Linked DNA regions of Arabidopsis thaliana. The protein of the gene in region 2 interacts with the protein of the main gene of each other region in a pairwise test. Each region holds a gene or a part of one and is shown on either strand. Other genes may lie near its edges.

Region 1 (16,318 bases), 5.2 Mb from region 2:
AGTTAATGCGGAGGAAGATGGTGATGACAGCCAAAGAAAGCATCAGACAGAAAGCAACGTCCTCTCAAGTGTACGAGGATATGGAACAAGTCTTCATAGAAATGGACAAAAGCCCACTTGTAAGTAGTAGACTCATAATTAATGTTCCAGTTTTCAAGATATGAGCTCTTATTTTTAATCTACAGGCTGAGACACACACAACACTGATAAATGAGCTGCAAGATCTGAAAGAGGCAGTGATGAAGAAGAGTGACGACGACGGGGATACCGGCGAAGAGAGTGGTTTCGATCCAGAGAAGCACGTTGACGCTTACTTGCCTGTTCGAGTCAACGAGCAGAGAGTGAGCAACCTGTTGCAATCATTGCTAGTGATAGGTGCAGTGTTTGCTCTACCGGTCATTAAGCTCATACCGACTTCACTTCTATGGGGATATTTTGCTTACATGGCCATTGATAGCCTCCCAGACAATCAATTCTTCGAACGAACAGTACTTCTCTTCGTCCCACCAACCCGGAGATTCAAGTATGTGCTCTGAAAATGCTCTGTTTTTTTGTTAAAGGTTTCCTTCAAAGACTGATCATGTGATTGTTTTTTGTTGTTAGGGTCTTGGAAGGAGCGCATGCATCGTTCGTGGAGAAAGTTCCGCATAAGTCAATCGCTGCATTCACGCTATTTCAGATACTCTACTTTGGGCTTTGCTACGGAGTGACGTGGATTCCAGTGGCCGGAATCATGTTTCCGGTTCTTTTCTTCCTTTTAGTAGCCATCAGACAGTACCTTCTCCCTAAGCTCTTTAAACCAGCCTATCTCCGGGAACTCGATGCGGCGGAGTATGAGGAGATCCCTGGAACTCCTAGAAACCCGCTTGAACTGTCTTTCAGGGTGAGTCAATGTCTATATAATATGTACATTCTTTTTATTCTTGATATTTGTCTAGAGTAGTTTAAAGGATTGAGGTTTATCGATTTAACCCTGTTTTAAAGTCGAATAACTCGGCGAGAGGGGTCCAAGAGTGTGATGCTGAGATTCTAGACGAGTTAACAACGAGCAGAGGCGAGCTCAAAGTCCGTACACTCGGTCATAACGAAGACAAAGGCCACCAGGTTTTATTCTTTTTTTGTTTGGGTAAAGAATCTGTATATAGATCGTTGAGTTGAATCTTAGACTTTGTAAGAAGAATTTCATAGACGATCATGTTAACATGCAGATATATCCCAAGGAGATAGTAGAAGTAGGGGATGGGGACATGAGTTCTTCGAGAGAGTGATCTATCAACAAAATAACGATCAAAACCATTTTTGCAAGTGCACATCATGATGGTGGTCATGTGCAAAACATAGATGATATGTGGCTTTTATTTTTTCCTAAATAAAACCCAAGAAGATGTGTTTATCATCTTGTATTTTTCTCTATATATTAACTTTTTTCAAAACTTTCCTAACTAGTTGGGAACTTGGGAGGCTAACGGTAACGGACTTATTATGATGAAAATAGAATTGCTATTGTAAGTATTACTAGATTTGTCCATAAAAAAAAAACACTGACTTTTGTTATTCATTTAAGTAAACTCATAAAAGATTACATTTTTAGAGGAACCATATAGAGACCATTATTTTAAGCAGTAAACTTTGACCTGAGCATGTTGATTGTTTTACTATCCGCCTTAAACGCCGATATCAATACCTCGTTTGGAATCGCGGGTTTCGTAGCCAACAGAGTGTGAGGCACACCAACCTCGCTAGGCAAGTCGTCAGCAACCACCGTCAAAAGACGGCATTGCGTTTTCCCAACGTTCCCCTCGTAATGAATGAGTCCCGGAGGAATCACAAACATATCACCGGGTCCAATAACCTTCGAGTACAACGTGTAGTTAGTCGTTAAGAACCCAACCAAGACCGAGCCTTCGATCACGACCCCTGCCTCGGTTACACCGGGGTGAGAGTGAGGTTGGTTGTATCCTCCAGGTGCAATTGCAACGTTATACATGGATATTCCCAAAGTGTTTAGGCCTGGAAAGGTCAAGAGATTGGCTGGATTAGCGGCAATACCTTTTGGGTTCGAGGTGTTTAAAGGAGTGTTCAAGCCGGAATAAAAGAAGTCTTCAGAGGTGACTTGTGACTTGCAAGGGTAACCACTGTTAGTTGGGGTAGCTTGGAGATCAGCTACACAAAAGTCTTGGAAAGGGTTAAGTTTTAGGGCTGGGAGTGAGAGAGTAGGGTTCGTGAAGAGAGTGATGCATAATGCGAGGAAGATTAAAACTATTGAGAGAAAAGAAGAGATTTGTGAAATATGAGCCATTGCTAGTGAGTGAGATGATTATGGTTGATGATGATAAATGACGATGTTAATTGGTAGATTATATAGCATTAGAGATTAGTTTTTTTTTGGATCGACCTTATAGCTTCATTAGACTAAAATAAGATGGGATTAAAGGAAAACACAAGAAAAGATTAAATCTTTATGAGTGTTGGGTTTAATTTTATGCAATTCTTTAATGGCTTCAATTTTTAAGCAAAGCATATATGGCTATGCCAAAATAAATTAGGTTCAAAATAAACCCTAGCTCACGGAGACCTAGCTAGTCAAGTGGCTAGAGCTATGATATATATATGGCTGAAACAAGTTAGGTACAATTAACTCTCGCTCCTTGATCACTAAATTAAAAATGTCGAATGTCTCCATTTATAAGTTGAAATATTTGATTGTACGTTCTCTATAAATAAAAATATAATAGTTTTAGTTTTAAAATTTGAATTATGAAGGAAAATGATATAATTTATTTATGTTTACATTTTGTATTAGCATTTAAAATTTGTAAAAAAGTCAATCCTTAACGAAATAATTTGTTTATGTTCAGTGTTAAGATTCATTTACACTCAACAAAATGTTTATGGAAAATGAAAATGTTATACCTATTTGAAATGTGAAAATATGTAAGAATATAAAAATCCCATCTAAATACAAACTCAAAATGTTATACCTATTGAAATTGTGAAAACATTTTAGAAAAATTTCACATCTAAATACAAATGCAAAACTGAAAACTTTTTTATTTTTTGGGTATGAAGTACAAAACTGAAACTAGGTTAGGTTCATGGAGCAAACTGAAACTTTTTAATGTGAAAGAATAAAAGAAATGTTTTCAAGTTGAGACAAGGCGTGAAAGCTTGCTTGTTCTCTAAGAAATGGAAAAAAATTGTATTACAAGTTCATGGATTCAGAAGGCATAGCAACAAAACTACGAAGCATGTGCAAATTCTGAGATATCTGCAATAGAATTGCTTCTCCTTCACTAACATCCAAAACATCAGCAATGTGTTTCAATAAATCACCATTTGATTGAAGAGTACTTAGTCTCTCTGTGATCTCTGAAAGCTCTTTTACTATCCCTTCTTTGCTTTCACTCCCTGCCCAATTTCATAACAACAACACAAGATTAAAAAGGGTTTTTAGGATCAGATTAAACAACACATAATGATCAAACTTTGAGTAAAGAATCATACCTTTTTCTTCATCTGCAGAGACAACATTCTCCGCGGTAGACTCCTCTGACCTTTTCGATTGCCCATTTTGATCGATGTTTTCGCCATTTTCCTGCTGATTTGAAGAAGAGACAGCCAAATCCGAGACTGGTTTGGTTTCTTGGCAATCATCATATGCACTAGCATTGCCGTTTTGTTTATGAAACTCTTCCCTTGCATCTTCTTGATCAGTCAAACATCCATATTTCTCTCTGTAAACCTCAAATTCAGCTTCAAGCTCCTTCATTTCCTCTTCCCTCTTCGCCAATTCACTACTCATAGACTGCAAAGCTTCTTGGTCATACTCTGCTTGTTCATCCATCATTCTTTGGTACTGCAAAGCCTCCATTTGAACAGCAGCTTTCTCGGCTTGAAGCCTCGTGATCATAGCCATCGCTTCGTTGGCTGCAACAGCTGAAGCACTTCTCTCTTCATCTAACTCCATATATAAATCAATGAGTGACTTCTTGTCCAAGCGAACCTCTTTCTTGAGCTGATTAAGAATGGATTCACCGGTTGGATCTGTCGTGTCCGAAGCATTCTCTGTCTTATTCAAAACGGATTTCTTAAGAGATCGAACGGACCATCGTGGACTGTTTTGCGCCGAATCAGACAGAGGGATCCCAAAAAACTTGTTACCTCCTCTTACAAAACTTGGTGTTCGGTCCACATCCATATCCTTAAACTCAGATTCGTTTTCAGACAGTTTGTTGTGCGATACCCTAGGAGAAGGAGCAGGAGCAAGGAAAGAATTGTTGTTCTTCGGTAACTTCTCAGATTTTATCTTCAATAATTCTCCACAACACGAACAATGTTGCTTCAAGCTATCATTTTTAATGTTGTTAGTCTTGTAATCCACCAGATTTTTTGTTGTCTGGACTAAATTGTCGTCTTTCTTGAACGCCAAGGGAAGGTCTCGTTCATCGTCAATGAGAAGCTCGAGATCTTTATGTAAGATGCCAATGAGAGACTTATAAGTATCACAGTCAGAATCTTTCTCGGTGGCGAAAGAGAGAAGACATCCTTCACACATATGTTTAATCTCAGAGAGCTTCTTATGGACATGGCAATAAGCAAGAGAAGATACTTTCTTCTTGTGAGAGTCGCAGATTGACTCGTTGTAATAGAATTGAGGGTCTCTAGGGACGAGAATGTGGTCGATTCTGGTGCAGAGAAGACAAGGAATGTTGAGGTCGAAGAATTTGGCGAATTGGTTTGACAGAAAGGCGATAACGCCGTCGATGAAGAGGAAAACAATGAGGCTCCATTCAAGAACAGTGTAGATGAGGAAATGAGGAAGAGATCCGAGTTCTTGTTCCACAAATTTCTTGAAAGAACGTTTAGACATTGTGGCTTGTAAAAGCAGAAACAAGAACAAGAAAAAACAGAGCAATTGTATATACATAGGAGATCGAATTTTGGTCAAAGATCAACAAAGAACAGAGATCATGATCTATCTATCTCAATCTTTTGTGATTTGTGTTTCTATTTCTGGGTTTAGAGAGTCTAGATTGGGCTGGAATTTGATGAGATAAAGTACCCAAAAACAAAGGATAGTCGCAGATTTGAAATTGATAAATTTAGAGACAATGTCAAAAGACAGAGAGATACAAAACAAACAAAGATAAACTGGATTCGTTTTTTTTTTTTTTTTCCCCGCTTAGACGTGAGGAGAAGTTTGTCGTTGACGCTAAAACTGAATACAACCATACACGACAGAAACAGAGGACATGCCAACACACACATGACATACACATATACATCATCATCATATAAAAATGATGCTGTTTGATTGGTCGATTAATGAATGGGGATCATGTTCTGTGATTGGAAGATTATTGCTTACGCAACAGGGGTAATATGTAATCATCCCACACAAAATATATTAAAAGCATCTGATGGGAAAAGAAAAAGCTCCACTATGATGGAAGTGACCAATAAAATTTGACATTATTGGCATCATTAAAGATAATGACATTATTCTACAAACATAAAATATCTTATCCTTGGAAATCAGATATATTATAAAAACCCTAAAACCCCATGAATCATCTAACATGATTTAGATAGCCACATGATAAGCAAGTACTACGACTCTGTTTATGATTGAGATCATGAATAAAACAAACATAACGTTAATATGATTTATAAGTTTTGATAGATCCACACGAATGAACTTAGAGAGTATTACAACAACTTCCAAACATGGAAGGAAAAACACAGGATGATTATGAACCCTAAAACCCCACTTAAGTCCTATCTCCAAACTCTGTTTATTATTCTTCTTTTCAACAGATTTTTTTTAGCCAAATACATAAATTTGACGAATTTTTTTATAACAAAGTCAAGACCTATCTGTACAGCAAAGAAACAAACAGGGTGTGTTGCAGATTTTCACCTTTAGGATAAGCTCTAAGCGACTCCAATCGTGTTGAATGCTGGATGCATTGAAGGAGATGGTTCATTAAGATTAGATGAAGCTAGTGAGAGGTTGAGAGAAAGCGGTGCTGGACTTGACTGAAAAGTTAATGGAACCAAATTGATGAGATTCGATGAAGTAAGCTGTCCGTATGATTGATTCCCTGTTGGTACCGGGAACTCGGGAAAGACTTGCATAACCGGATGTATAGAGAAGTTGTTGATTTCCGGTACAGGAGAAGATGATTGAGATGTGTTCTCCTGTATAAGCACTTGGTGATCTTCTTCCATGGGTATGACCTGATAACAAAACCAAGCAAAATCAGTTTTGTTATACTTAAGTTTTCACTAACCAACAATTCACAAAGGCTCTCTATTAGTTTCTTTTAAACAACTAAGCTAAAAACTAAACCTAACCACTTAACTTACTAGAGTCACAAAGGATTAGAGATTTACCGTATCAGTAGTCATGTCAAAAAGGCTAGATCTTCGGCGGCGACGGTTAAGATTACTTCGCCTGAGGAAGTATTTCTGAGCATGACTAGCAACTTGTGTAGAGGTTCTGGTCTTGACAAAGTTTCTTGATATTCCTTTCCAATCTCCTTTACCGACTCTCTGCAGCCCAAGCAAGAACAGCTTGTGTTCTTCTTCAGTCCATGGAACTCCTAAGAAATAGAAAGAAACCCAATAAATTAGCCATCTTTCTAAATCCAAATGAACATAAAGTTGTTCATAGTCCATTTCTCAAACCATATCTAACAAATCCCTAAGTTTAAAGTGATCAAATTTATGGAATGATAAAAAAAAGTTTCAATCGAAGAGTAATACCTCGTTTCCTCTCGATTTTGCCGTTAGAAGAAGACATGGGAAGAGCTTCATCCGCCGAGGCGTAACCGGCCGGGGTTTTGTTCATATCTTGTTCATCTCTATCTTCGCCGTCGATCTTTGGAGTCTCCGCCGTCTGTTCATAGTCAGACAGATTGTTCAAACTCACGCACTTTCTCATCGGGTCAAGCACAACCCTGACTCCGAACAGCATAATCTCTCTTCTTGTGCCGCTTCCAGCGCAGGCGGTAGTGGACTCCGAAGAACTAGTACTACCGTCGGCCATGATAATCTTTCCGATTTTGCCCCTTGTGCTTTCTTTCTCCTAAAGAAGCAAAGTACACAGAGCAATGGGCAATGGAGTGGTGTGAGTTAGATCTGAGCTTCTTTGGGGACCCTTTTATAAGCCAAAAGCCACGTGGTTCCTTTTTAAACTATTACATGTTGTAGGTGTTGGTGACGGTACCATATGACACGTGTTTTGTTTTTATTCGTCTGTTCTTGTATTTTTTTCTTACCTGCCTGTCTCTCTACAGAGTTTTCATTTGGATAGACTTTTTTTATTCATTGGCTGACTAGATTTATTAGGTTTTTTGTTAGTAGTTTAATTAATCTTATAGGATGACGAAAAAAGAGTTAAATAAATGTTATCCTATAATAAGAAGTTAAAAAAGTATTTCGCTATGTCGACCAAAAAATGTAGGTCGTATAACGAAGAAATATTTATTGACTTTCGCAAACTCAAAGTTAAATACAAAAAAATGAAATAACAGAATGAGAAAAATGAAATGAAATCGACGCTTTTATTTTTCTTAACGTTACCCTCATGTATTTTTATGATAAAAATCTACAGGTTATAATGTACTGGTCAACGCAATGTCTCTAAGGCCTAAGCGCATGCAACTTGAGCTTAGAAAAATAGTCAGCTTCTGAAATGATTCTGTACTCTGCTCTAATAATCTATTTAGTTACAGCTCCATCCTTGTACTTTTTTTTCTTCTAAAATACTATATCTTGTGGATCTATGAGTTGATTATTAAGAAAAAAATCTTGGGAGACAGGTGAATCCTTTTTGGAAATTATAACTTTGAATTTCAACACAAAAACTTACAATTTCAGGAATCTAATTCAACAACAAAAATGATTGTGTAGTCGAATTTGTCGTTTTCTAGCTAAGAGTAAATTTTAAGACGCTGTTAAGGACCTAATTGTAGTATAAACAGCATGATCGTATGTCCAGACTTGATCACAACTATATAGCATTAAAAAACAAAAAGGTGATAGTTTTAGTCTTTTAGTAGAATGTTAGGATGTGATTTGACTGTAAGCAATATGATCACATACTATTATTATTTATCTATTTTAGATTTGTAGGGAAAAGATTCTAAAAAGTATTTACAAAATTTGGTAAATAGTTTTGGAAGACAGCAAAATCACACAAAGCACTAGCATCGGTTAGAAAGCAAAGCCACCATTACTTTTATGCGCACACAAAGTGGAATCTTAAAGTTGTAATGTGTGAAGCACTATAGGAAGATCCTTTCTTTCTCCAATCTTTTTCTTATTTTATTACCAATTTGGATGACAAACTTGTAGTGACTTTCCTAAATCAGAAAACAAACACATATCTGAGGACGAGAGAGAGAAAAAGATTAATCAGACCGAAGAAGGAATCTTGCACAACAGATTGTTTTCTTTATTCTGGGTGGAGTTGGGTCATTGCTATGTAATAAGTTAGATTTCGAAACAGAGAGAGTTCATCAGGTGAGGTCACAAGCAAAAACTAGAGCTTCCCTGAGGAATCTTGATTAATAGATCCTTTAATTGTAACTAGAGCTTTGATCTTACATTAGCATTTAGCTTTATAGTAATCAAAAACATAGTTGAATGGAAAAAAAAACGAAAAAAAATCTATGGCTGCAAAATCATGGGTCTAACAATCCATCAAAACACTTAGTTGGCTACTTACTTGAGATTTTCATATAGACGCTTCTTCATATAAACTAAGATCACCATTTATCTTCTTCTCCAGCTTCTTCTGTCTAACAGAGGTTGACTCTACTGCTTGAAACCATAGCATAGTTATCATGGATATGGAGTGCTTGTGAAATACGCCCACAGTTTTCACCCACCAGTCTATATGGAGGAAGGCAGAAGAGGCCTTTGATTTCTGGACTTGGCAACAGAAACTACGTTGTCTAGTTCTTAAGCTGTGCTCCCTGCTAGTTCTTTTTTCGTCCTGGTTCTTCGTTGTGTAGGGTTACCGCTGTGGTTCGTGTCACTGCTTGTTGAAGCTCTTGTTCCAGCCGCAAATATTGGCGAGTTTGCTAATGCCACTAGGTTTTTATTTTCGGATTCTTCTGAAGTTGGCTCTTTCGTTGACAGTAACTGCTTGAGCTGAGATCGCTGGCACATAATGCGACCTCCATTCCATCCCGTGAAGGAAAATGAGGACGAGACATGATCCTGCAAGAAGGAGAAAGCAGCTTTCGCGATAGGAGATTCTCTTGCAGCAGAGCTTTTCTCCAACTGTCCCCGTCTGAGAGGTTAGAAAGAAAGAATTAAAAAAGGCAAAAGGCAAGATAAAAAGCTTGAAGGCATCTTGCAATGAGGTAGGTACCCAGTATCAAAATACTTACACTGAAACAACAACAGCTAGTTGAGGAAGATCTCCCTTTAAAAGCATATCATTTATATCATTTAGCCAAACCGATAGTGCTGTATACATGCCACCCTCTGACATCCTGCAGAACATTGAAAACCAAGAATTAGATTGACTGGTACTCAACCATTTCATACACATGAAACGAAGCCAGTGTAGGGATCTTAGGCTACCTATGTACATCGACAGACCACACAAGTTTGTTTTTCCGGAATAACTCAGGGAAAAGTCCACGCTTTGTTGCCTCATTGAGTACTCTTGCAGCTCGCTCTTTCTGGCCCAGCCACCACAAAGCATCCAGAAGTGCATTGTAAAACCTTATTCCCAAACCACATCCTTCTGAATTGAGTTTGTCCAACACGTATTCCACTATCTGCCAATTTGAGTCATCATCATAATCTCCCTTGATCATTTGCCCAATAACTTGATGAATATTTGATACTCTATTTGAAAGCATCTCCTCCAATAACTCATTGACATCGTCCCACCTATAAACCAAAAAAAAAATTTGAAGTGTTGCTTAAAATCTTAAGATGTTATATACAAAACAATGGCTAAAGTTACTGCTTATCCAGAACACTCAAGTTAGCTGCAAGAAAATTAACTAGGGTGCTACATTACACTAGCATATCTCCCCCATGCCTGACCATGTATAGACAGAAGGCAACTGAAAGAGCAAAATGCTATGATGATGGAATAAATCATCATGCTTAGTAAGGTATGAGCTATAAAAATACACGCAAAAGAAAACATCAGAAACCGTGTATTACTGGCGAAGGCACTAACCTCTCCGTCTTCCCATAAACAGCTAGCATCATACAGTAGCACATGATACTGGGCAGTATATCAGAAGCTTTCATCTCCTCAAACTGCTCTCTGCACTCATCAACAAGCCGCGCAAAAGAATACACACTTAAAACAGCCTCAAGCGTCCTTTCATCAGGATCGCATCTTGACTTCTCCATATCTACATATGTCTTCACAGCCTCTTCAAATTTGCCTCCTTGCTTGTACGCTTCTATCTGTGCATTGAACGTATCTCTGTTCCTGGGAATACCAGAATCCACCAACCTGGACAAAATCGCCTCAGACTCCTTGACCAGTCCTCCCCTTGCAAACGAATATAACAGTGAGTGGAATGTTTCAATACTTGGATTGCTTCCTACTTCATGCATGGTGTTGAAAGCAACAAGCGCTTCTTCATATAAAGCAGCCTGCCCAAACGCTTCAATAACCCCAGTGTACGCCTTGGAACTTGGCACGATATCGTTAGCTGTCATATATTGTAAGATCTTCCTAGCATCTTCGTGAAGTCCCCCCTTCCCACAAGCAAATATTATACCCTCATATGTCTCCATGTCCGGTTCAATATTCTCCTCCACCATATCATGGAACAAAGTTACCACCTCCTTAAAATACCCCCCTTCCCCAAAAACCTCAATCAAAATGTTATATGTAGCAGCATCAGGATCCGTATTGCTTGATTTCATCTCAAGAAAAAGCTGCCTCACATCATCATACCTCCCACTCTGTCCAAACAAATTCAGCAAAACACTGTATGTATTTGCGTTCGGCGTACACCCTGCAGCTTGCATCTGATGGAAGACCCCCATTGCCTCCTTAATAGACCCGGATTTCGCATATGCCTCTAACAACACATTATAAGAAGTGATATCCGGCAAACTACCGCCGGAGGCCATCTCGCCTAAAAGATCACATACTTTCTCCAGCCGGCGTAACTTCCCAAATGTCTCAACTAGATGACTATATGTGGTTAAATCCGGAACAATCCCACCATCATTCATAGTCCTAAAAACCATTTCAGCCTCATCACCTAAACCTCTAATAGCACAAGCACTAAGCAGTGTATTATAAGTCACGATATCAGGTTGTATCCCCTCATGTCTCATCTCTGCAAACAAACCCAATAAACCCTCCCAATCTAAACCACCTCTAGCACAAGCATTAATCACAGTGTTGTAAGTCAAAATACTAGGTGATATCTTTTCATTCTTCATCCTATCAAGAAGCTCAAGAGAAGTCTCATACCGTCCATTTCGACCATAAGCATTGATCAAAGCAGTGTAAGAGAAAACGCTGCGGGACACACCTTGGCTAGGCATTTCGTCGAATACCTCAAGACATTTATCTAGTAGACCTTCTCTACCAAGCAAAGAGATCATAATAGTGTAGATATGCTCGTTAGGTTTGCACCATATCTGCCGTTGCATATACTTGAAGAGACGAAGCGACCTTTGCCAATCGCCGCGACCAGCGAACTCTTTGAACACGAGTGCGAAATCGTTCAACGAAAGCTTGTTTTTGAATATGTCTAAGCACCTGGCGATGCTCCCGCGTGGTGGGAGACTGCTCAGCTTGTTAATCAGCGATTCGACGTCGTAGCTGTACTTTCCTTTCTCCACGGAGACGGAGGGGTTCCCGAGAACGAGATCTTTAGTCTTTGCTTTGATTTTACCGGAGAAGGAGCATGGTTTACGATTTCCTCCTGAGAGGAAACGGAGACGGTTGCCGTCGGCGAATCTCCGGTTTCCGATGAAGCTTGAATTCTGGATGAGGAAGGAGAGGTGGTGTGAGTTGGGATTTGGAATTGCTAGGTTCATTTTGGGTAACTAGAGTTCACATAAGGATTCAAAAATCCTCCAGCAAGTGAAACGAGATTTTCTCGGGAAAATCGCAATTCGATTTGAATTGAATCAGAGATTTAAGATTAACGGCTAAGTTACTAGTCACCACCAAGCTCTAGACAGAAACGCACGAATTAAGATTGGCAGTAGAATAGTTTAGAAGAAGAGATTTTCTCACCCAAAAGCTCGCTCTCTAGGTGAAATGGCGGAAAAATGGAAGAAGAGGGAGGGGCTTGAAGAAGACACGTGGATTCTTATTGTGGATAACAGTCTCGAGTAATCACCCGGTCATTACCCGGTTTAATGATTACTTCCCGGTTTTAATTGGTTAACTCGATATTTTTCGATCAAAAAAAATTGGCGCCTAAAATTGCAAGAAAAGTAGTATTAGTGTACACTAGTAAATAGTAGAATACAATTACATTGGTAATATATGTTGTAAACTAGACAATGTTCTATAAGTCGGTTTAATTGTCCATCCATCTTCTAGGCAATCGAAACTTCAAAATCATTTGGATATCTTAATTTTGGTTTAATCCCATGAGCTAGCTTCTTTTTTAGCTGTCTACCATTTTTTTTTTCTTTGAATGTATCTACCAAATATGGAACATTATATCATGTCTCGTATTGGAATAGTTGATACAAAATTCAATAATTAGAACTAGCTACAATATAGTCTTTTGTTTGGGGTAAAAGCTACGAAATCTAGTGGTCTAATTGTCTAAATGAGGTAAAAATTAAAAGTCCAGTGTATTTTGAAATTGTAAATTTATCACCGAAAAATGTAAAAAGCAAAAGAGAGATTACGAAAAGAGTGACGGAGATAACGGGAAACCGTACCGCCGTTTGCAGTCTGAAATGCTGAAGCTGACGTGACGTGTGGTGTGGCGTTTGAGAAATAACATCGAGTTTTTAGGGGTAAATAGGTCTTTATACTTCTTTCTGTTCCTAACAGACAGACGCTTCAAGGAAACACAAAAAGAAACAAAAAAAAAAAAAAAAACCTTTTTAGCTTTTTCTTTCTTCTTGGCGAGTTCGCGACCTTGGTCGGAAAATCAACAATCGCTTCTCTGCAATCGCATTATCGGCTCTAATGGCAGACCCAGAGGTACAATTACCTTAAACCCCCTCAATCTCCTCCTCTCACGAGTTCATTTTTTTCGATTTCGGATTTTTCTTCGTTTAGTTTCGTTCTGTTTCTTCTAGACCTTGTTTCTCTTATCGGACAGAATCTTGTTGCTGATTTCGCTAATTTTGTTTAAATTTTGGGTTTCACGATGTGGGTTTTGTCTTGCTTTTCTTTTCGGGGTTTGCGATGATTTTTTGTTCGTTTTGTTTTGGGTTAACACAGACCTTAGCGGCGTTGAAGAGAGCCTACGCCGATACGATACTGAACACGACGAAGGAAGCGGCGGCACGTGTGATGGTTTCTGAGAAGAAGGCGCGTAGGTATCAGCAAGAACTTGTGACGGTTAGAAATGAAGCACTTCATACGTTGGTTAGGCTTAAACAGATGCTTGATTCCAAGGTACTATCACTTTGTTCTTATTTTCATTTGTTTATGGGTTCTTGGTTTGTTTTATTTGGTTTCTGCCTGATTATGTTTTTGGGGTCTTAGAGGCATTTCTTTTTTCTTGCTTCATATGAAGATGGCTTTTGAAATTAAGTTTTTCAGCCTTGCTTTCATGGTTTTAAGCATTGTTAATGTTGTGTGTGTGTGTGTGACTCTGAGTTTTGTTTATTCAGTCTTTGACATTTGAAGTGACTAAAATCTTCCATCATTCAAATGATATGCTTCGAGACTATCATTTTTGCTATGTTTTTTCACTACATTCACTTCATTGAACGTTGATACAAGCCATTGTTTTTGACACTCTTGAGACTATTACATTGATACTTTGCAGATATAGCTTTTCTCTTCCTCCATTGATATTTGTTCATGAAACCTAAGGCCTAAAACTAATGAGCGTAACCAAGTGTAGCTTAGTGTCAGCAAGTTCTAGATTCGTTGTACCATTGTTGGCAGTGAGGCTTACACATATTTCATGGCTTATGCTCTCAATTCTCATTTCATCGTGAAATTTTTAAGTTAAAGGTTTTTCAGTGTGGGGGATATAGCTTTTTCATCTTAGAGACTGTATCACGTTTGCTTGAGGATGAGCTTTCCCTAATGGAGTATATCTTTCTTTTGTGGCTGGCTTTGCGTTTCCTCCTCAACTCTAATTTTTAAAAAACCGATTTGTGTTTATAGGTTAAGGAGACAGAGATGCAATCCTTGAAGCAGCAACAGAAGGTTGAGGAACTTGAAGCTCAGCTTGGAGAAGCTGAAGATATTGTAGGAGAGCTGAGGTTGGAGTTGAGAGTACTTCACGATGAGCTCAAGAAACTTACGGATGGTCAGAAACATCTTAAAAAGAATCATGAGGAAAACCTCTGTTGGAATAACCGTGATGCTGCAGTTTCTGTAATGCCTGAGGTTTCTTGCAGTCACGAGAACACAGAAGCTGTAGGTTTTTGCATCCCAGTGGAACAAAATGGATCAGTGGTGGCTAATGGGATAAAAGTACCGTCTTTGACTCGCATAAATAGTATTAACCGGTGTTCTTATAAAGATAACAAGGATCAATGTCACTACACTCTTCCATCTATACTGACAAAACGCAGGGAAACTGAAGGTTTAGCTCAGATGATCCACACAGTAGATAGCAGTATGGCCAATGGGGTTCTGTCTTCCTCTGTAGAAGTAGGAGATGTGAATGATGGAGTATGTCTTCACGAAGTTTCGTCTTGTAAAATTGTAGAGAGCTTAGAAATGTCTGGTTGTGCTGATGCTACTGACTCCATATCTTCTGTTAAAGATGGAGAAGCCCCAATAGTGTCTCCAAACTCTTCTCAGAAGGATGTCGGCACTCTTATATCCTTGAAAACATCTCCTCCGAGGGAACATGAAAATGACAGAAAGCTGGAGATTAGCGAAACAGAGGCAAGGAAGGAAGAAAAAGAGAGCTGTGAGAATATGGAGGTTTCTGCATCTCCTTTGTGCGAAGAAACTCCAGTTTTAGCACTGAGTAAAAATCGGTGCATCAAGTACACGTTCAAGAGGAAGAGAAAGAAGGAGGTCTTAAGTAATCTTGAAGGAGATTCCTCGTTTGAGGAGAGTAGAAACATGAAACAGAAGACTGTTGAGAAAGACGATGGTTACTTGGAGTCTCTGAAGCCTAGCTTTACCAGTGAATCATCTAGAGATGTAGTCTATGCTTAGCACATGTGGCTTGGAAGGTTAGTAAATATCGACATACATCTAATTTGCTATATCATATTAAGTTTATTATGTTTCCTTCTTGCCTTTAAACTTGAAAGTGTATGGTCTAAAAACTGATATCAGTAGCAGTGCCCTTTTGTTGCATTATGGTTTTGGGTGTAAACTCTTGTCCATTGTGATGGGTTTATATATATATGATGTCCAAGATTCTGAATGTTCTATGTTTCTTTATTGTATTTTAATGGGCACAGCTTGTACCATTCTCGTAGAATAAAGATTTGCAGCAGAACTAATCAACCAGTAGGATGCTCCAGCAAAATGGTTATAATCATCTAATATATAAGGATAGGTGGAAACTTTAAAATTCTTACTTACACCTGGATGGTGTAAGACTAAAGAGCTACCATTGTATTGCTTCCATTTCGTACCTATGTAAATAATCTTACGTAGAAGTCTTTAGCAAATACTAGTTTTTGTGACTTGGTCAAAGTTTATTCATGGAAATTTGGACTTGCGACCATGAATCATGGACTAAATAAGGAAATGTTAATCAAATAAATAATTTGACTCAAGAGATTGCGATATCTATAAATGCGAGTTTGTTCAATCTTCTGTTTAAAAAGTTAAAGACCGTTTCAATATAATTACCGGCTTTACTTCTACGTAAAGAGTAATTAAGACTTACGGAGGACTTATTCTTTCAATTCTTTTGTGAAAATATAAGAATTTTTATGATCATAAATAATATATTAATGATCATTTAAGGAAACATGATATATTTACTAAATAATCTATAACAGTCTTAGATTCAAGACAAATAATATTTTTGATTATTTATGAAACCCATTATATATTTTCTAGATAATCTTAAAATTAAGAATCACAGACCTTAAAAATCAACTACAGTAAATTGTTGAGCTGTGTTTTAAACACAGTAGAAGGTTCCCTTAATTAATAATACTAAAAAGGTAACTATTGTATTTA
Region 2 (17,332 bases):
TCTTACTCCTCAGAGTTGTCTACCAAATCCTGCGAAACAGGAAAGATTTCTGCCACGAAACTAGTAAAATGAAATATATCATATGCTCTGTTTAATTTCCAAAACAGAACAAAGCACATCACAAAGATCTTAACCATAATTCATATCAACAAGACAAAGAAAGATAATTGTAAAGATTTTTTTCATACAAGACTGATTCATCATCCTTCAGGGTCAAAGGCTTAGACACTCATACACAAAATCTATTATCTACTTCCAAAAGTCAAGCAACAAGACTCACTAATGAATCTAAACCTAACAGAAAACAAAAAACAATCCTTAACGTTGCTCATTGTTCTAGGCGTGCCTTCTGATCGGTGAGTGAAACACGATTTCCGGTGAAGATTGCCATCAGCTCAGCCACAAGCTGCTTGTCATCATGTTTGCTAACATACAAATTTAAAAACGACTCACTAGTACTTGTCAAAACAGAAGACATTGGAGGGAGTTCACTTTCAAGCAATCCTTTTGACATGAGAACTTTGATAACATTACACCTTGGGACAGTCCTCTTCTCTAGGCTGTATCCAAGTACCTGAGGGATTGAAGCCACAGCCTTTACTGGCCAATTCATCTCCTTGACCAAAAACTCAGTCTTCTTCTTCACCGCCTCTGTAGAATATCCAATACACGGAGGAAACCGCTTGAACATCATCATAAACACATCTCTGCTGAATCCTAGACCTAGAAATGTTTCTATAGAGTTGGCTACCTTCTTCTCCGAATGTGTCAAAGAGCGTGGCCACTTCTTGAACATTGCCCATACATCATCAACAGAGAAACCTACACTTCTATAGACTCGGATTTTTTCTTCAATCGTTTTGTCGCTCATTTGGTAAAGCATATGCAAAGCGTGCACAAACGTTGAGGTGGTTGGATCAAAACCCATCTCAACTACCTTCTTGAGTGATGCATCAAACTTTTCTTTTCCACAAACAGGCTGCGATTTGGAGATGAGCAAAAGCAGTAACCGCTTTTGAGGCACGCCTAGTTCTCTCAAAACCAAGATATTTCTGATCTTGTTACCCTGTGCCAAAGAATGAGATATCTTTTCATACTTGGAACTCTTATCAGCTTCTATAATGACTTTGATGAAATCATAATATCTGCTGAGAGATTTGCCCTCTCTCTTCCCCAAGATTTTAGGAACTGTGGAAACAACCTCAGTGAGCTCAGAGCTTGAAGCTCCTCTGGACTGCAAAAACTGAAGCTTTGAACCAAGGGATGTCGCATCATTGTCTATAAGCACTCTTGAATCACTCCTGATGATGCTGGAGATCTGAGAATCAGTGAACCCATAACTTCTGAGAAGATCCAGAACGGAATCAGAATTTCCCTTGTCAGTGAGTTTTGTAGCTAAACGCAGTGAATCAAGGAAGGACGAGGATTTAAAGGTCTCCCCTTTAGGGCTCACATCAGCAGCACTAGCAGAAGAGAACGAATACGAAGAGAAAGATTCATTTTGCAAAAGGTTCACTGAAACTCTCAAATGCAACCCCACGAACCTTCTAGCAGCACCGAGTATAAGAGAATTCATGAGAATGCAAAGCGATTGCCTTTAAAGCGTTAAACCGATTCTAGCGAATTATCTGATTCAATTCGTGCCCGAGATTCTCAGAAACTTTCTACTTTCTTACTAAGCAACGAAGAACACGAAATCGATTAGTAAAATTACTGCACAGATCCAATATCGGAGAGGAAAGATAAGATTTTTAGGGTTTTAGTTCTGGACCGGTTTAAGGACAAATCAAATATTGATTTAATTGGTTTACTTTTTGGTTCATTATAACCATTATTTTTGTGCATTGTTTCCAACTTTCTAACCCAACGGTCACATGTACTACAATCAAAATTTGGACATTCACAAAAATCAAAATTTGGAGAGAATTCATAATCTCTTGAGTGATGCTAATGACAGGAGCATCACTCAAACAGTCAAACTTCCTAAAATTATGGACATGAACAATTGAGATAATATAAAACATGACATCTATATTAGATGATAAATAGCAAAACACATAGTTAATAATTGTTCAAAAGAACATTAAAGTCAATGGAATGAAACAAACGAAGATGATGCAATTTTAACAAAATACGTATGAAATGCGGATACTTCTTCAACACTTGAAGGACTTCGTTTTCGTTCAAACCACATATCTTCAAGGTTTCAATCGTCTGACTTATCTTTTCCTCTGAGAATTTCAAAGAGCAAGGCCACTTGTTGAAGATTTCCCACAGCAAAGCCTAACCTTTTCTTCAATTTTTTTGTCGCTCATTTGGTAAAAGACGTGGAGAGGTTTGACAAACTTTAAAGTGGTCGGATCAAAACCAATCTCAACAACCTTCTTGAGTGATTCTTCAAATTTTTCCGCTAGATGAGCAAGGGGAACAACAACTTCTGAGGCATTCCCAATTCTCTCAAAACCAATAAATTTCTGGTTTTGATCACCTGCTTACTACCCTGTGGCAAAGAATGACATAGCTTTTCATACTCGGAACTCTTATCCACTTGTATGAGAATGTACAAAGAATGCTATAAGCAATGCTTGTGGTCGGTGGATATTTGAGAATCAATAAAGAGAAGATATAATGTATCATTCAGAATATTATAAATTTTGCTATCATTTATATATCATCAATAGCCATTACAGAAAGATAGTAGTAGCATTTCATGATAAGTAAAGGTGACAATCTCTGGTTTTATTTATGATCAAGAAAGAGATTGTGAGTTTGTAGTTTGTAGGATATTATTAATATATAGGTTTGTACAATAACCATGAGATGACCTCACTCTCAATCCTTTTTTCCTTTGCCCTTCTTCTTCTCAGAGGAACCCTTTACCCTGGATTCGGAACCTGTGGCACCACCTGCAGAAGCAGCAGCAGCTTTGCGATTCGCTGCAGCTTAAGACCCTCCCTTTGAGGCAGCTTCATTGGTAATGGCTTCTCTAAGATGTCAATAAAATCTGGAGGAACCACATGCAGATCTATTTTGATATATAAAATTTGAAATTTATTTTTGATGTGAATAGAAGAAACAGAGATAACGAAACATTACCATTTCATGACAACTATATTCAGGAAGAAATACTTTAAAAAAATCCCAAGTCTTTACGTGCATACGAAGATGAAGAAGAAACCTTAGCTTGTTACCAGTTTCAACCATTTTTCTCTTTGGTAGTGAGTGATTAAATTTAAACCTCTGTTGTTACTGAGAGTCATCATGTTCTTGACAAGAATATTAAGTGTTCTATATATATATTTAACATTACTGAGGAAGATTAGTATAAGATTTATTGCATTTATTTTATTTTTAAAAAAGCCATTACATGAGAAAGAGTAGCATTTCATAATAATATATAGAGGTGACAATCTCTGGTTTTATTTATGAACAAGATAGAGATTGTGAGTTTGTAGTTTTTAGGATATTATTAATATATAGGTTTGAGGAATACGCATGCATGAGAATATGAGAGCACCTCACGCTCAATCCTTTTTTCCTTTGCCCTTCTTCTTCTCAGAGGAACCCTTCACCCTTGATGCGGAAGCTACCTTACCGTTTGCACGTGCAGCAGCAGCTTTGCGAGTCACTGCAGCTGCAGCATCGCCTTCAGCGGCAGAAGCACTTGTAGAAGAAACTCTTGCCTTGCGACCCTTGGCAGTGACTTGTCCGCTGGTAAATGTGTTGGCACTTTCGAATGAATTGGCCCCTGGACCTTTGGGATTGTTAAAACCATTAGCATAGCTAACGACACTGCTGGTGCTGTAAGTTGTGCCAGTTGCAGAAAGCTGAGCTCCAATGCCTTTGGTAGTAGTTTTTGGAAGAGAGGCCCCTAATTTGGTCTCCGTGGACAAATCTTTGACCTGCCTTGCGGTGACAATGGCACACAAAATGCCAATCACGAGAAGCACAACAAACTTTGTGGCATTCATCTTTTGATTTTTTGGATTAGATTGTGTTTGTGGTGAGTTGTGTTGTGTTCTTCTTCCCAAGTCATAGACCTCTATATATACAAAAACTCGATACACTTGTATTTATTATGATACATGGACATTTCTTACAAGAAATATACATAAACTTAAATTACGACTAATAGTCATACCAACATGTCAACATGATACTATTTTAACACCTCTTGCCAAGATCAAACACAATTTTATCTAACTAGCTAATATTATGAATAGATTGTGATATCCAATTAATACTATACTATAACTGTGATCTCTTATTCGAAAACCTCTTAATACAAATGAATTGAATTCATTTTTCCAACTTCTGACTCTCAATCCAGAAGTTAAGAACATATCAATTTTGATACAATCCACCAACTACAAGAAAGGTTCTAACAACGATCATTGAAATCCTCAATCAGAGTCATCCACTTTGATTCCAACTAAAGCTTCCTAAGTGAAAATATGAATCTGAAAATATAAATCATAACTTCCGCACAATAGAATCCAAACAGACAAGCAATTATGGAAATGACAAGGAAAAGTATTGAACTTGACACGACTCTCTTAGCAGCTCGTAACAAGTACTAAAGAGCCAATGTATCCATGCAACATTTTTGACATATCATGAATTCACTCATAGATACTTTAACAAAAGCTTTTCTTTCGTTTTTCCATTATCACATCATAAGATTCATCTAGAAATCTAAAACTGACAACAACAAAATAAGAACAAACCTTGGCACTGCTCATTGTTGTAGGTGTGCCTTCTGATCTATGAAACACTACCTTTGGTGAATATAGCCATCAACGTAGGCACCAGCTCGTTGTGCTTCATCACATACCTGTCTAAAAATCCTTCATCGGTACACGACAAAACAGAGGACACTGCAGGTAGTTCACTTCCCTTTCTGAGCAGTCCTTTCGACAAGAGAGCTTCGAGTATGTTACACCTTGGTATAATCCTCTTCTCCATGCTGTATCCAAACACCTGAGGGTGCAAAACCAAGGCGTTTCGTGGCCATTTCATCTTCTTCACCAGAAACTCATTCTTCTTTTTAACAGACTCTACAGAATATTCAATGCAAGGAGGATAACGCTTAACCATCATCAGAAACTCAGCTCTGCTATATCCTAGGTCTAGAAACGTTTCAGCCGACTTCAATATCTTCTTCTTGGAGACTTTCAAAACAGAAGGAGTCTTCTTGAAAATTTCCCATACATCATCCACAGTAAAACCTAAACTTCTAAAGACTACAACTTTTTCTTCAATCGTTTTCTCGCTCATTTGGTAAAGCATCCGCAAAGCTAAAACAAATTTAGTGGTGGTGGGATCAAACCCCATCTCAACAACCTTCTTAAGGGATGCATCAAAATTTTCTTTTCCACACACAGGCTGCGATTTGGAGACGAGCAAGGGTAATAACAACCGAGAAGGCATGCCTAATTCTCTCAAAGCCGATACATTTCGGATTTTATTCCCCTGAGAACCCTGTGGGAGTTCATAACTCGAACTCGTATCGGCTACTATAATGTCTTTGACAGCATCATAGTATACAGTAATAGATTTCTTTCCTAAGATTCTCGGTACTGTAGAAACAATCTCAGTGATCTCAGAGCTTGAAGCTCCTCTAGACTGCAGAATCTGAAGCTTGCGACCAAGTGCTTTCTTAGCATCTGCTACAAGCAATAACGGATAATCCGTAATGATGGTAGAGATCTGAGAATCTGTGAACCCGTAACTTCTAAACAGACTTAGAACAGAATCAGGATTGACCTTGTCCTCAAAGCTAACTTTCCTTGAGATGGATTCAGCGAGCTTTTTAGATAAACCCAATGAATCAACGAGGTAAGAGACTGTAAAGTTCTTCCCTTTTCGACCATCTCTAATGCTCACATCAGCAGCTCTAGCAGAAGAGAAGGAATTGGACAAAACAAATGCATTTTGCACTGAAACACTCAAACTCAAGCATTTCTGCGATTGGACCAACCTTCTTCCATGGAGAATCAGAGAATACATTACAAAAGACAATGCTACAAATGCTACAGTGTTGAAAGCTATTCCGACCCAACTACTCTCTGTTTCAATTCGAGAAGATGAATCGCGCAGTCATGAATCATAGATACCAAAATTTCTCTGGAATTACGAACAATAACAAGAAACTCACCATGAATCCGCTTCCAAATCGCGAAACCCTAAATCCCAAAATTTAGGGTTTATGTGTTGCTCCACCGATAGTAAACCTTGAAGAATTTCAATTATGATTCTTTTTTTTTCTCAAAAGAGTCAGGTGCCTGACAGGCCTGACTCGGCCCATATAGTATCACGGCAGGCGGATATGGACATTATGTTTCAAGCCCAAAACAAAGTTTGAGATCTTCAAAAATTGGAGGAGAAAAAAGGTGATCACACTATTTCTGAGATCTCAAACGATATCGGTTTGTTTTAAATTGCGAACATATGGTTGTAGAGCTTCTTCATTCACCAAATGTCATTTGCTTTATCTATTTAGGAATGACCTCAAATTGCATACTCTAGCCTCATTACGCCTCCTGTCATCTTCAGATATTGTTTCAGTTTGGTTCACTAGGATCTCACGTTCTGCATCAATTTAAAAGACTTGGTATTATTAACCAAGCAGAACCGGATTCATTTTGGTCTGGTTTAGATACTATTCAATTGTTGATCACGAACCAACTGTATGTATACCAGAGTACATTTGTAATCTGGTTACTGTCAACCAAATGTGATCCTACAAAATTAACATGCAACATTGGTGACTGCTCTGATGCAACATTAGTGACTGCTCTGATGTAACAATGGTGACTGCTCTATAGTCTGTATGAATAGCTCTCTTCAATAGTTTCTGGATTCATCACTGAAAAAAAAAGATATGAGAATCACAAACTATAAGAAAAAGTTCTCTGAAACATTTTTTCTGCGCCAAGAGATTCACCCTCAAGTTCCTATCAAGAACGAACAAATAGTTGATAATGTAATTTTCCTAGAATAAATAAGAGATTCAATTGCCAAAAGTGTTTGCTGAGTCCAAGTTGAAACAAGATTCTGAATTCTTCAATGATGAAAGAAACTTAACACAGTTTTGACGTACCATTGTAAACTTGTAGATTGCATTCTTTCAAGGGAACCATATCTCATACGTCTAAAACTCAATAAGATCAAGTAAAGGAAAAGATAGTTCTGATAGATAGCCTAGAGATATCGAGCAAATGCATTGAATGAGCACATTAATAAACAACCAACACATTATACTATCTCAATGTACCTATAATAACGCTAATAAGCATATTACCTTGCGAGTCAAAGAGAGAAAACTTGAGTATTCACTCCAGAGGTCGTTAGCCATAGCAAAAGCTCAAAACAACGTTCAACGTCCCAAGCTTCTTCAGCTAGAAGCTAGATATAAAGATTTTACCACCTTGGACTGGATGATTATCTGATTGATGTGTCCTAATGATGTAGGATAGGTTTCCAGTGCCCCTGACAATATATTCAAGACAATGTAATATAAAGCTCACAAAAAACGTGTACGAGTAAAAACCAAGATCACAAATCTGAAATACAAACATTCCACAAATCAGATGAATCATATGATCAAAGAATATATAAAGCAAAGACAGAGCTTACATGAGGACTCCAGGATCTCAGGAGCAAAGAATATATAAAGCAAAGACTTTATTGTACCATAAGAGGATTTTGGTATCAGTAGCTGTAATTTCAGTACTCCAATCCCAAAATTTAAAGAATAATGTGAAAGTAAACACTAACTGAGAAATAGAAAAGGCTTACATGACCAATTCAAGAATGCAGGAGCTGCATTGCATCATTCAAATCTATATCCGAACAAGGTCACAAAGAATTTGGAATTTAACTTCAGTAATATAGCAGAAAATGGATTCAAAACTTACAATTTCAAGCATCTATAGAGAGAGACAAACAGTTTGGATCGATATGAAATTGAGAACTAAAGTCTAAATTGAGGATTTCAGATATTTAAAGATAGAAACCAAAATCCTTGATCAGCCTTGTGATCTATGAAGCACGATAGATAGCCATCAACTCAGTCTCCAGCTGCTTGTCCTCATGCCTCTTCACATACCTGTTTAAGAACACCTGATCGGTACATACGAAGACACGCGATATCGAAGGGAGTTCACTTCCGATCAATCCCTTGGAGATGAGAGCTTGAACTACGTTACCCCTTGGGACAGTCCTCTTCTCTAGGCTGTATCCAAGCACCGCAGGGTTTGAAACAAGAGCCTTTAGTGGCCAATTCATCTTCTTTACCAAAAACTCAGTCTTCTTTTTAACCATCTCCGCGGATAATCCAATGCCCTGAGGAAAGCGCTTAATTAACACGCTAAACTCATCTCTGCTGAACCCTAGGCCTAGAAATGTTTCAATGGTGTTCAATATCTTCTTCTCCGAGTGTGTCAGAAAGTTTGGCCACCTCTTGAACACTGTCCATACATATTCCACATCAAAGCCTAACCTTTTATACGCATTGACTTTATCTTCTATGTTTTTGTCGCTCAATCTTTGAACAACGCACAAAGCTTCCACAAACTTTGAGGTGGATGGATCAAAACCCATCTCAACAACTTTCTTGAGGGATTCTTCAAATTTTTCTTTACCGAAGACAGGTACGTCACAAGAGATGAGCAAGGGGAATAACAACTTGTGAGGCATCCCCAATTCTCTCAAAACAGATAAATTTCTGATCTTGTTCTCCAGATTACCCTGTGGAAAAGGTTGACATGACTTTTCGGACTTGGAACTCTTATCAAGTAAAGTTTCTTTGATGAAATCATAGAATACGCTGATAGTTTTGTGGCCTCTCTTTCCCAAGATTTTAGGAACTGTAGAAACAATCTCAGTGAGCTCAGAGCTTGAAGCTCCTCTAGACTGCAAAAACTGAAGCTTGGGAGCAAGTGATTTCTCAGCATCAGCTACAAGCAATTGTGGATAATCCGTAACGATGGTGGAGATCTGAGAATCAGTGAACCCATGACTTCTCAAAAGATTCAGAACAGAGTCAGGGTTGTCCTTGTCCTCGAAGCTAACCTTCCTTGAGACCGATTCAGCGAGCTTTTTGGGTAAACCCAATGAATCAACGAGGTAAGAGACTGTAAAGCTCTTACCTTTTCGACCAACTCTAGGACTCAAACGCGCAGCAGAAGCAGAGGAGAAGGAATTGGACAAAGGAGACGCCTTTTGCACTAAAACTCTCAAATGACGCCATTTCTGTAACTCGACCAAACTTCTTCCATGGCGAATCAGAGAATACATGACAGAAGACAAGGATATGCGATTATGACCCAACTATCTATTTCAATTCGAGAAGTAGAATCACACAGTCATCCTCAAACTTCTCTGAAAATCACTCAAAATTTCATAAACCCTAATGATTTGCCAATTGGTATACGTCGTCCTTTAATTTATTCTCTTTAACAAAATTAATAAGGTTAATGTTACTGCTGGGATTCGAACCCAGGTCTCACCACTTGGCTACAGCTACAAAGAGAGTGTTTTATAAATTCCATGAATATTGTAGAGATGTGAAGATTTTTACTGAGTTTTCCAAAGACTATAAATGCATCACAGAGCAAAGTCATATTTTGATTTGAGGAGATTCTTAGAGTAATGATTTCTTACAAATTATGTCTAGTGAAGAGTGTGTGTTGTGTGTTGTGTACAGTTATCTTTGAATAACCAAGGAACCGGAGCTGGACTTGTCGTGACAACATTGAAGTTAAGTATATCATGCACGAGTTAAGGTCGGTTTGTTAGAACACCAAAGTAACAAGACAACAGAACTTAATGTCAAGCAACAACAGAAACTTCTTCATTTCATCATCCAAAACAATTTAAGAAACCCTCAAACGCAGGGCAAACAAAGCTTATCCATTTTTCTGGCTCTAACAAGTAAAAGTAAAAGGCCTTGGATTTTTTCCATAGAAAGCTTTGCTTTTTGGTTCCTCCCCGTGATTCTGCTAAAATGCAAGTCCTTTTACCTCTTCCGGAATACAGAGAATTAGACATCACCAGCACCCAGTCCAGAATAAGTTCATCAATGAGAGTATATGACGGTATCAGAAACTGTACAAAGATCATAATTTACCTTCAGTATACGAACCACCAAGCTTCTCAACAATAGATAATCCCTCAGCCAAAATATTAAACCCTCTATATAGCCACAGGACCTGCACCTCCACCTTTAAACCACCAAGCATTTTCAACCGATATTTCAACTTTTCAAAGAGCTATTTTGAAACATTTCTCATCTCTTCTGACTTCCTAATTCTCCTTTCCTTCTCAAGACCTGAATAGCCACAAATACGACTGCGAATAAGGTTTTCCGAGAAATATTTCTAGCAACTCACAATTGCACAGGTCCATCGCTGAGTAAACAAAGCTCTAAGAAGTAAAGTAAATGGCCTTCGATCATCCCATAGCTAAATTCAGGTTAAAGGTGCAAACTTTTATGAAAATAGATTCTGAATTCTTCAAAGATGAAAGGAACTTACCATAGTTTTAACTTTTAACGTACCCTTGTAAACTTGTAGATTGCCTTTTTTACAAGGGAACCATATCTCATATGGCTAAAAACACAATAAGACTAAAAAAAAGGAAAAGAGAGTTCTGTTACAATTAGTTTCCAGAGATATTGGGGGCAAATGCGTTGAGTGAGCACATTAATGAACAACCAAAGCAATACATTATCTCAATGATACCCCATAACAACGTTGAGTGTGAAACGGTTTCGATGATCATATCCTTCGATTTATTCAATAAACCTAGAGTAATAAGCTTGAGTGTGTACACTAAAAAGCATATTACCTTGTAGGTCAAACAGAGAAATAAACTTGAGTGTGTTCACTCCAATGGTCGTCAGCCATCGCAAAAACTCACCAAACTTCAAACCATCCAGAGCTTTGAAGTTTCTAGAGTAATAGCTAGATTCCAGATTTTACCAACCTGGATTGGATGATAATATGATTTATGAGTCCTAATGATGTGGGACAATGTACCATAAGCTCAGAAAAAATGAGTATGAAACGCCATAGCAAGTAAAGACCAAGATCACCAATCTGAGAATTAAAACATCTCACAAATCAAATGAATGATATAAAGCAACGACAGAGCAAGATTTTAATTATCATAAGAGGATTTTGGTATGACCAGCTGTGATTCAGTGTACTCCTATCTCAAAACTGTTAAAGAAAAAAGTGAAAATAAAGATCAAACACTACTTGAGGAACGGAAAAGGCTTACGTGATCAATCGTAGAACTCAAGAGCTGCATTGCATCATTCAACTCCATATCCAAACAATGTCACAGTGAATTCAGAAACTATCTCTGCTTTAGAAGAAATCAACAAACATAGAATTTGGATTCACATGTCCCCTGCAGCTCTTTGGCTAGAAACCTCAGTAATATATGGGAAAATTACAGTTTAAAGAGAGAGAAAGAGTTTAAATTTATGAAGCACGATAGATAGCCATCAACTCCGTCACCAGCTGCTTGTCCACGTGATTCGCCACATACCTGTTTAAAAACACCTGCTTGGTACACATGAGGACACACGATATCGAAGGGAGTTCATTTCTCATCAATCCTTTGGACATGAGAGCTTTGATTACGTTACCCCTTGGAACAATCCTCTTCTCCAGGCTATATCCAAATACCGCAGGGTTTGAAACAACAGCCTTTAGTGGCCAATTCATCTTCTTCACCAGAAACTCAGTTTTCTTTTTGACCGTCTCTGTAGATAATCCAATGCACGGAGGAAAGTGCTTGACCATCTTGGCAAACTCATCTCTGCTGAATCCTAGGCCAAGAAATGTTTCAATGGAGTCCAACATCTTCTTCTCCGATACTCTCAGCGAGATTGGCCACTTTTTAAAACTTGACCATACATCTCCCACATCAAAGCCTAAGCTTTTATAGAGATGGACTTTTTCTTCGATTGTTTTCTCGTTCATTTTGTAAATAACTTGTAGAGCTTCGACAAACTTTGAGGTGGTAGGATCAAAACCCATCTCAACAACTTTCTTGAGGGTTTCTTCAAATTTTTCTTTTCCACATACAGGTTGGCTATCGGAGATGAGCAAGGAGAATAACAACTTGTGAGGCATTCCCAATTCTCTTAAAACCGATACATTTCTGATCTTGTTCTCCAGATTACCCTGTGGCAAAGAATGACATAACTTTTCGTTCTTGGAACTCTTCTCAAGCAAAGTGTCTTTGATGAAATCATAGTATACGCTGATAGTTTTGTGCCCTTTCTTTCCCAATATTTCCGGAACTGAAGAAACAATCTCAGTGATTTCAGAGCTTGAAGCTCCTCTAGACTGCAAAAACTGAAGCTTGGGACCAAGTGATTTCTCAGCATCTGCTATAAGCAACTGTGGGTAATCCCTAATGATGGTGGAGATCTGAGAACCTGTGAACCCATGACTTGTCAAAAGATTCAGAACAGAATCAGGATTGTTCTTGTCCTCGAAGCTAACCTTCCGTGAAATGGATTCAGCGAGTTTTGTGGTTAAGCCCAATGAATCAACAAGGTAAGAGACTGTAAAGTTGTTTCCTTTTCGACCAACTCTAGGACTCAAACACGCAGCAGAAGCAGAGGAGAAGAAATTGGATGTAGGTGATGCCTTTTGCACTGAAAGACTAAAGTTACACCATTTCTGCAACTGTACCAACCTTCTTCCATGGAGTATCAGAGCATACATGACAACAGGCAATGCGATTACTACAAATCCCGAAAATAACAATTTTTGAAGCAATTCTACCAATCAATCTAACTCAATTCGAGCACAAATCTCAAACTTATGTTGAGCAGGGAAGACAAAAGACTCAATCATCGATCAGTGGTGACTCGTGCCGTTAAAGAGTTGATGAGTGATGGATCTTTCAAGGGTTCAAATTTGAGGAGAAGGAAAAAAAAAACGATTTTTTAGGGTTTATGATGATTATGATAGGCAAATTGATTTTAGGATCTGCTGATGTCAGCATTTTCTTATAAGATAACGAAATATAAAATGATCGGAGGGTTCTAATTATTGTTTTTAAAACATATCAATCTAACGGTTCCAATTGCTTTTGCTCTCTCTCTTTGCTTGGCATAACATTTTTTAACTGTAGACAAATCTGTACCTGCAGTTGCACGGTTGCACTGACCTAATGGATAAAGTCATTCGTTTAAGATTACGGTAATATGGTATGCTATTGAAACTGTAACTGAGAATCATCTTCCCTTACAAGAAGTAGCCAAAAGCAAAACCAGGAACACAAATGGTAAGCTGAAACTTTTGCTATTTATACAAAGGGACAAAGGTCACATTCGCTAAGAACCATGTAAAGATGGAGCGTAACAACTTCTTCTCCTCGGCTGCAACCTCAATGGAATGATATAACCAGAGTTCTTTATGATATCAAATCTGGAACCAAACCACTATCTTCGAAAACTTGCTCTTAGGATTGATCAATATATTGTAAGTTACCTGACTAACCAAGATATGTGCTTCATGTGAATGCAAAGAAGAACATATCTCCACGTTTCTAGGCCACTAAAAGAGTTCAAGACTCAAAAAAGATTGAAAAGTATTGCTACTTATTTTCAATGTTGGATTGTATATTAAAATGAGTCAAATTGAGATTACAAAAGTCTAAATAGGTATCAGAGATATATAAATGAAACTCCTCTTTTCACTTCTCATGGCCTGATGTCAACAGATTCATGGAAGAATCTAAAACTAACACAACAATACAAACCTTAATGATGCTCTTGTTGTGTGGTAGGTGTTCTGACTATATATAGAAGCTCCTCTTTTCACTTCCCATTTTCTCCAGTGAAGATAGCCATCAACTCAGGTGCCAACTTGTCGTGCTTCATCACATACCTCCTTAAAAACGCCTGATCGGTACTTGTTAAAACAGATGACATTGGAGGGGCTTCACTTCCGTCTTTCATCAGTCCTTTTGAGATGAGAGTTTTGATTACATTACACCTTGGGACAGTTCTCTTCTCCAGGCTGTATCCAAATACCTGAGGGATCGAAACCAAAGCCTCTAGTGGCCAATTCATATTCTTCACAATAAACTCAGTTTTCTTCTTCACTGTCTCAGCAGTATAGTCAATGCACTGAGGATATCGCTTGACCATCATCGCAAACTCATCTCTGCTGAATCCTAGGCCTAAGAATGTTTCTATGGAGTTCACAATCTTCTGCTCTGAAGAACAAATGCATTTTGGATGCTTCTTCAACAATAACAGGACCTCGTGTTTAAGCAGACCACAACTCTTAAGGGTTTCAAAAGTATGAGTTATCTTCTTCTCTGAGTATGACAAAAAAGAAGGCCACTTCTTGAAGATTGCCCATACATCAGCCACACCAAAGCCTAACCTTTTGTAGACATTGACTTTTTCTTCTATTGTTTTGTCACTCATACGGTAAATAACTCGCAGAGCTTCAACGAACTTTGTAGTCTCCGGATCAAAACCCATCTCAACAACCTTCTTGAGAGATTCTTCAAATCTTTCTTTACCACAGACAGGTTGGCCATCTGAGATGAGCAAAGGGAATAACAAACGCTGAGCCACACCCAATTCTCTCAAAACAGAGATATTTCTGATCTTATTCTTCTTGTTACCCTGTGGAAAAGAATGACATAACTTTTCGTAACTAGAACTCTTATCAGCTTCTATAATGTCTTTGACGAAATCATAGTATACAGTTATAGATTTGTGCCCTCTCTTCCCCAAGATTTTAGGAACAGTAGAAACAATCTGAGTGAGCTCAGAGCTTGAAGCTCCTCTGGACTGCAGAGACTGAAGCTTGGGAGCAATGGATTTCTCAGCATCTAATGCAAGCAATCGTGGGTAGATAGTAATGATACTTGAAATCTGAGACTTTGTGAACCCATAACTTGTAAGAAGACTCAGAACAGAATCCGGATTTCTCCTCTCCTCGAAGCTTACTTTCTTGGAGATCGATTCTGCGAGCTTTGTGGTTAAACCCAATGAATCAACTAGGTAAGAGACTGTAAAGTTGTTACCTTTAAGGCTATCTATAAGGGTCGCATCAGCAACACTAGCAAAAGAGAAGGAATTGGACAAAGCAGATCCGTTTTGAACTGAAACTCTGAAATTAGACAATTTCTGTAACTGGACCAACCTTCTTCCATGGTGTATCAGAGCATACATGACAAGAGAAAAAACTGTTACCGAACAAGAAATGACACGGCTTGAAAAGATTCTACCGAACTATCTGACTCAATTTTGAGAAATGAATCGCTAGTTGTAGACGACGAACAACCCTTTTTCGCCAAAAAAAATAATTCGGTTAATTCTTAAACCGAAATCGGTTTACGGAGAGTACAATACCAATGATGGACCAAAAACAAATTGTATGAGGAATATTATGGACAGTTTATTTATCCAAATTACATTCGAAATTTTATGTACTGAACTAAAAATGAATTAAATCGGAGATTATGGTCCTTAATTCGGTTGAACCAATTTTGATTGGTGTGATTGTGAGCAGCTCTTCATCATATTGCAAAACTCTTGATAATTTATACTTCCATCCTTTTTTAAAAACAAACAAAAATATGAATTAGAACATTTTAAAACTATCATTAAACTAAACAAATTGTGTTTGGTATTTTATAAATTGAGATATTCGACTTACATTATCAGCATCAACTTCTGAGATAATCTCTTTGATCATAATATCATCTCCCATATTATACTCTTTCATAGCTGTTTCTAATTCTTGTCTCGAAATAAACCTACAAACACATGTAATTTGGTTATTAATCCGGTTTAATTCTGGTTCATCAGTTTGGTACATATCGGTTTCCGACACATACCCGCTGTTATCTTTATCGAAATGTTGAAAAGCTTTGAACAAATTATCCTCTCTTTCTACTCTGAACCGGTTCATAGTAGCTGAAATGAACTCAATGTAATCAATAGTACCGTTCCCATCGACATCAGCCTAAACCAAAAAACATTAACCAAATTGATCAAAACCGGTTAGTTTAAGTTAGTAAAGAGAACAAAACGCCTTACATCTTCCAAGAGCTGCTTAACTTCGGTTTCGGTTAACCTCGAACCGAGTTTTTCCAGTCCGGATTTCAATTCGTCGTAAGTGATTGTACCGCTCTTATCGGTATCCATGTTTGCGAACATTGTCTTGAGACCCTTTAGTTCCTCTTCTTTGAGATTTTGCGCGATAAACTTAAACCAAACCAAATCATATTAATGAATCAAAACCGGTCTAATTTCATCAAGTAAAACGAAACATCAAAGATACTTACTTTAAATGCAAGCTTCTTAAGCTTATTCATAGCTCGGAGTTGCTTCATCCGCGACAAAACAGCACTATCGATTGGTTTATCAGAAGCTTCTCCACCTTCTCGTATCCAAGGATGTTCTAAAGAAAAACCAAAACCGGTTCAATTTCCTTCGTTCGAAACATTAAACCAAACAAACCAAGTATACTAGTAACGTTTACCTAGGACTTGAGCCGCAGTAAACCGTTTCTTGGGATCATACTTTAACATGTTTCTCACCAAATCCTTAGCACTCTCCGAAATCGACGGCCATGGTTCCGACTCAAAATCAATCTCTCCTCTCAAAATCTCCTCAAATATTCCCTTATCAGTCTCTGCACACGACAACCAAAAATTAAGATCAACTTAACTTTAGAAACTACAGAACCAAACCTAGTGGTTCAGTTGAAGTTTACCTGCCCAAAATGGAGGATTTCCGCAGAGAAGGATGTAGAGAATAACTCCGGCGCTCCAAATATCGATTGCTTTGCCGTAGTTTCTCTTCAGAACCTCCGGTGCAACGTAATATGCACTTCCAACAATGTCTTCATACACTTTCCCTGAAAAAAACAGATTGGTTTAGTCACTGAATTCGAGTTTATTTTTCGAGGAATGTTGCTCGGGTTTTACTTTTAGGTTCATTCAAAACCATGACATCCAAAATCAGATAGCAGTTCAAGAAAGAAGCAAAAACAGAAACAGAATAATCGTTTCTTCAGTAGCAAGAAACAGCGCGTAGAAATCATTTCTTAGGTTGCAAGAAAGAAAGTTTATCCCTTGCATATTTCTTATTTTGGCTATATACCTTCTTCGATGAAAACTGAAACACCAAAATCAGTAGCCTTGAGCATTGAGGAAGCTTCATCTTTACTGGACAACAAGAAGTTTTCGGGTTTAAGGTCGCGATGAATCACACCCATGAAATGACAAATCTGTACAACTTTAACCACACTTCTAATGATCTCCGCGGCTGCTT

What was found.
Region 1: the proteins of AT1G61980 (region 2) and AT1G74840 interact in a two-hybrid assay, tested with the Arabidopsis thaliana proteins (one large-scale study listed by BioGRID).

The regions. Positions count from the first base shown.
Region 1 is NC_003070.9:28,110,267-28,126,584, forward strand, and holds AT1G74840 (Homeodomain-like superfamily protein), read right to left. Parts: upstream 7,157-16,318; 5' UTR 7,052-7,156; coding exon 6,769-7,051; intron 6,606-6,768; coding exon 6,397-6,605; intron 6,241-6,396; coding exon 5,935-6,240; 3' UTR 5,177-5,934; downstream 1-5,176. Other genes in the region: BOR5 (HCO3- transporter family), read left to right, coding at 3-119, 186-523, 604-883, 985-1,104, 1,209-1,268; AT1G74820 (RmlC-like cupins superfamily protein), read right to left, coding at 1,616-2,299; AT1G74830 (myosin-binding protein, putative (Protein of unknown function, DUF593)), read right to left, coding at 3,203-3,408, 3,505-4,927; PTAC2 (plastid transcriptionally active 2), read right to left, coding at 8,971-9,304, 9,405-9,509, 9,601-9,915, 10,214-12,048; AT1G74860 (uncharacterized protein), read left to right, coding at 13,166-13,180, 13,424-13,600, 14,324-15,334.
Region 2 is NC_003070.9:22,900,130-22,917,461, reverse strand, and holds AT1G61980 (Mitochondrial transcription termination factor family protein), read right to left. Parts: upstream 9,445-17,332; 5' UTR 9,301-9,444; coding exon 8,044-9,300; 3' UTR 7,304-8,043; intron 6,869-7,303; 3' UTR 6,584-6,868; downstream 1-6,583. Other genes in the region: AT1G62010 (Mitochondrial transcription termination factor family protein), read right to left, coding at 329-1,576; AT1G62000 (uncharacterized protein), read right to left, coding at 3,525-3,971; AT1G61990 (Mitochondrial transcription termination factor family protein), read right to left, coding at 4,765-6,009; AT1G61970 (Mitochondrial transcription termination factor family protein), read right to left, coding at 11,493-12,749; AT1G61960 (Mitochondrial transcription termination factor family protein), read right to left, coding at 13,850-15,223; CPK19 (calcium-dependent protein kinase 19), read right to left, coding at 15,521-15,607, 15,711-15,810, 15,892-16,019, 16,094-16,261, 16,342-16,457, 16,539-16,691, 16,773-16,916, 17,162-17,332.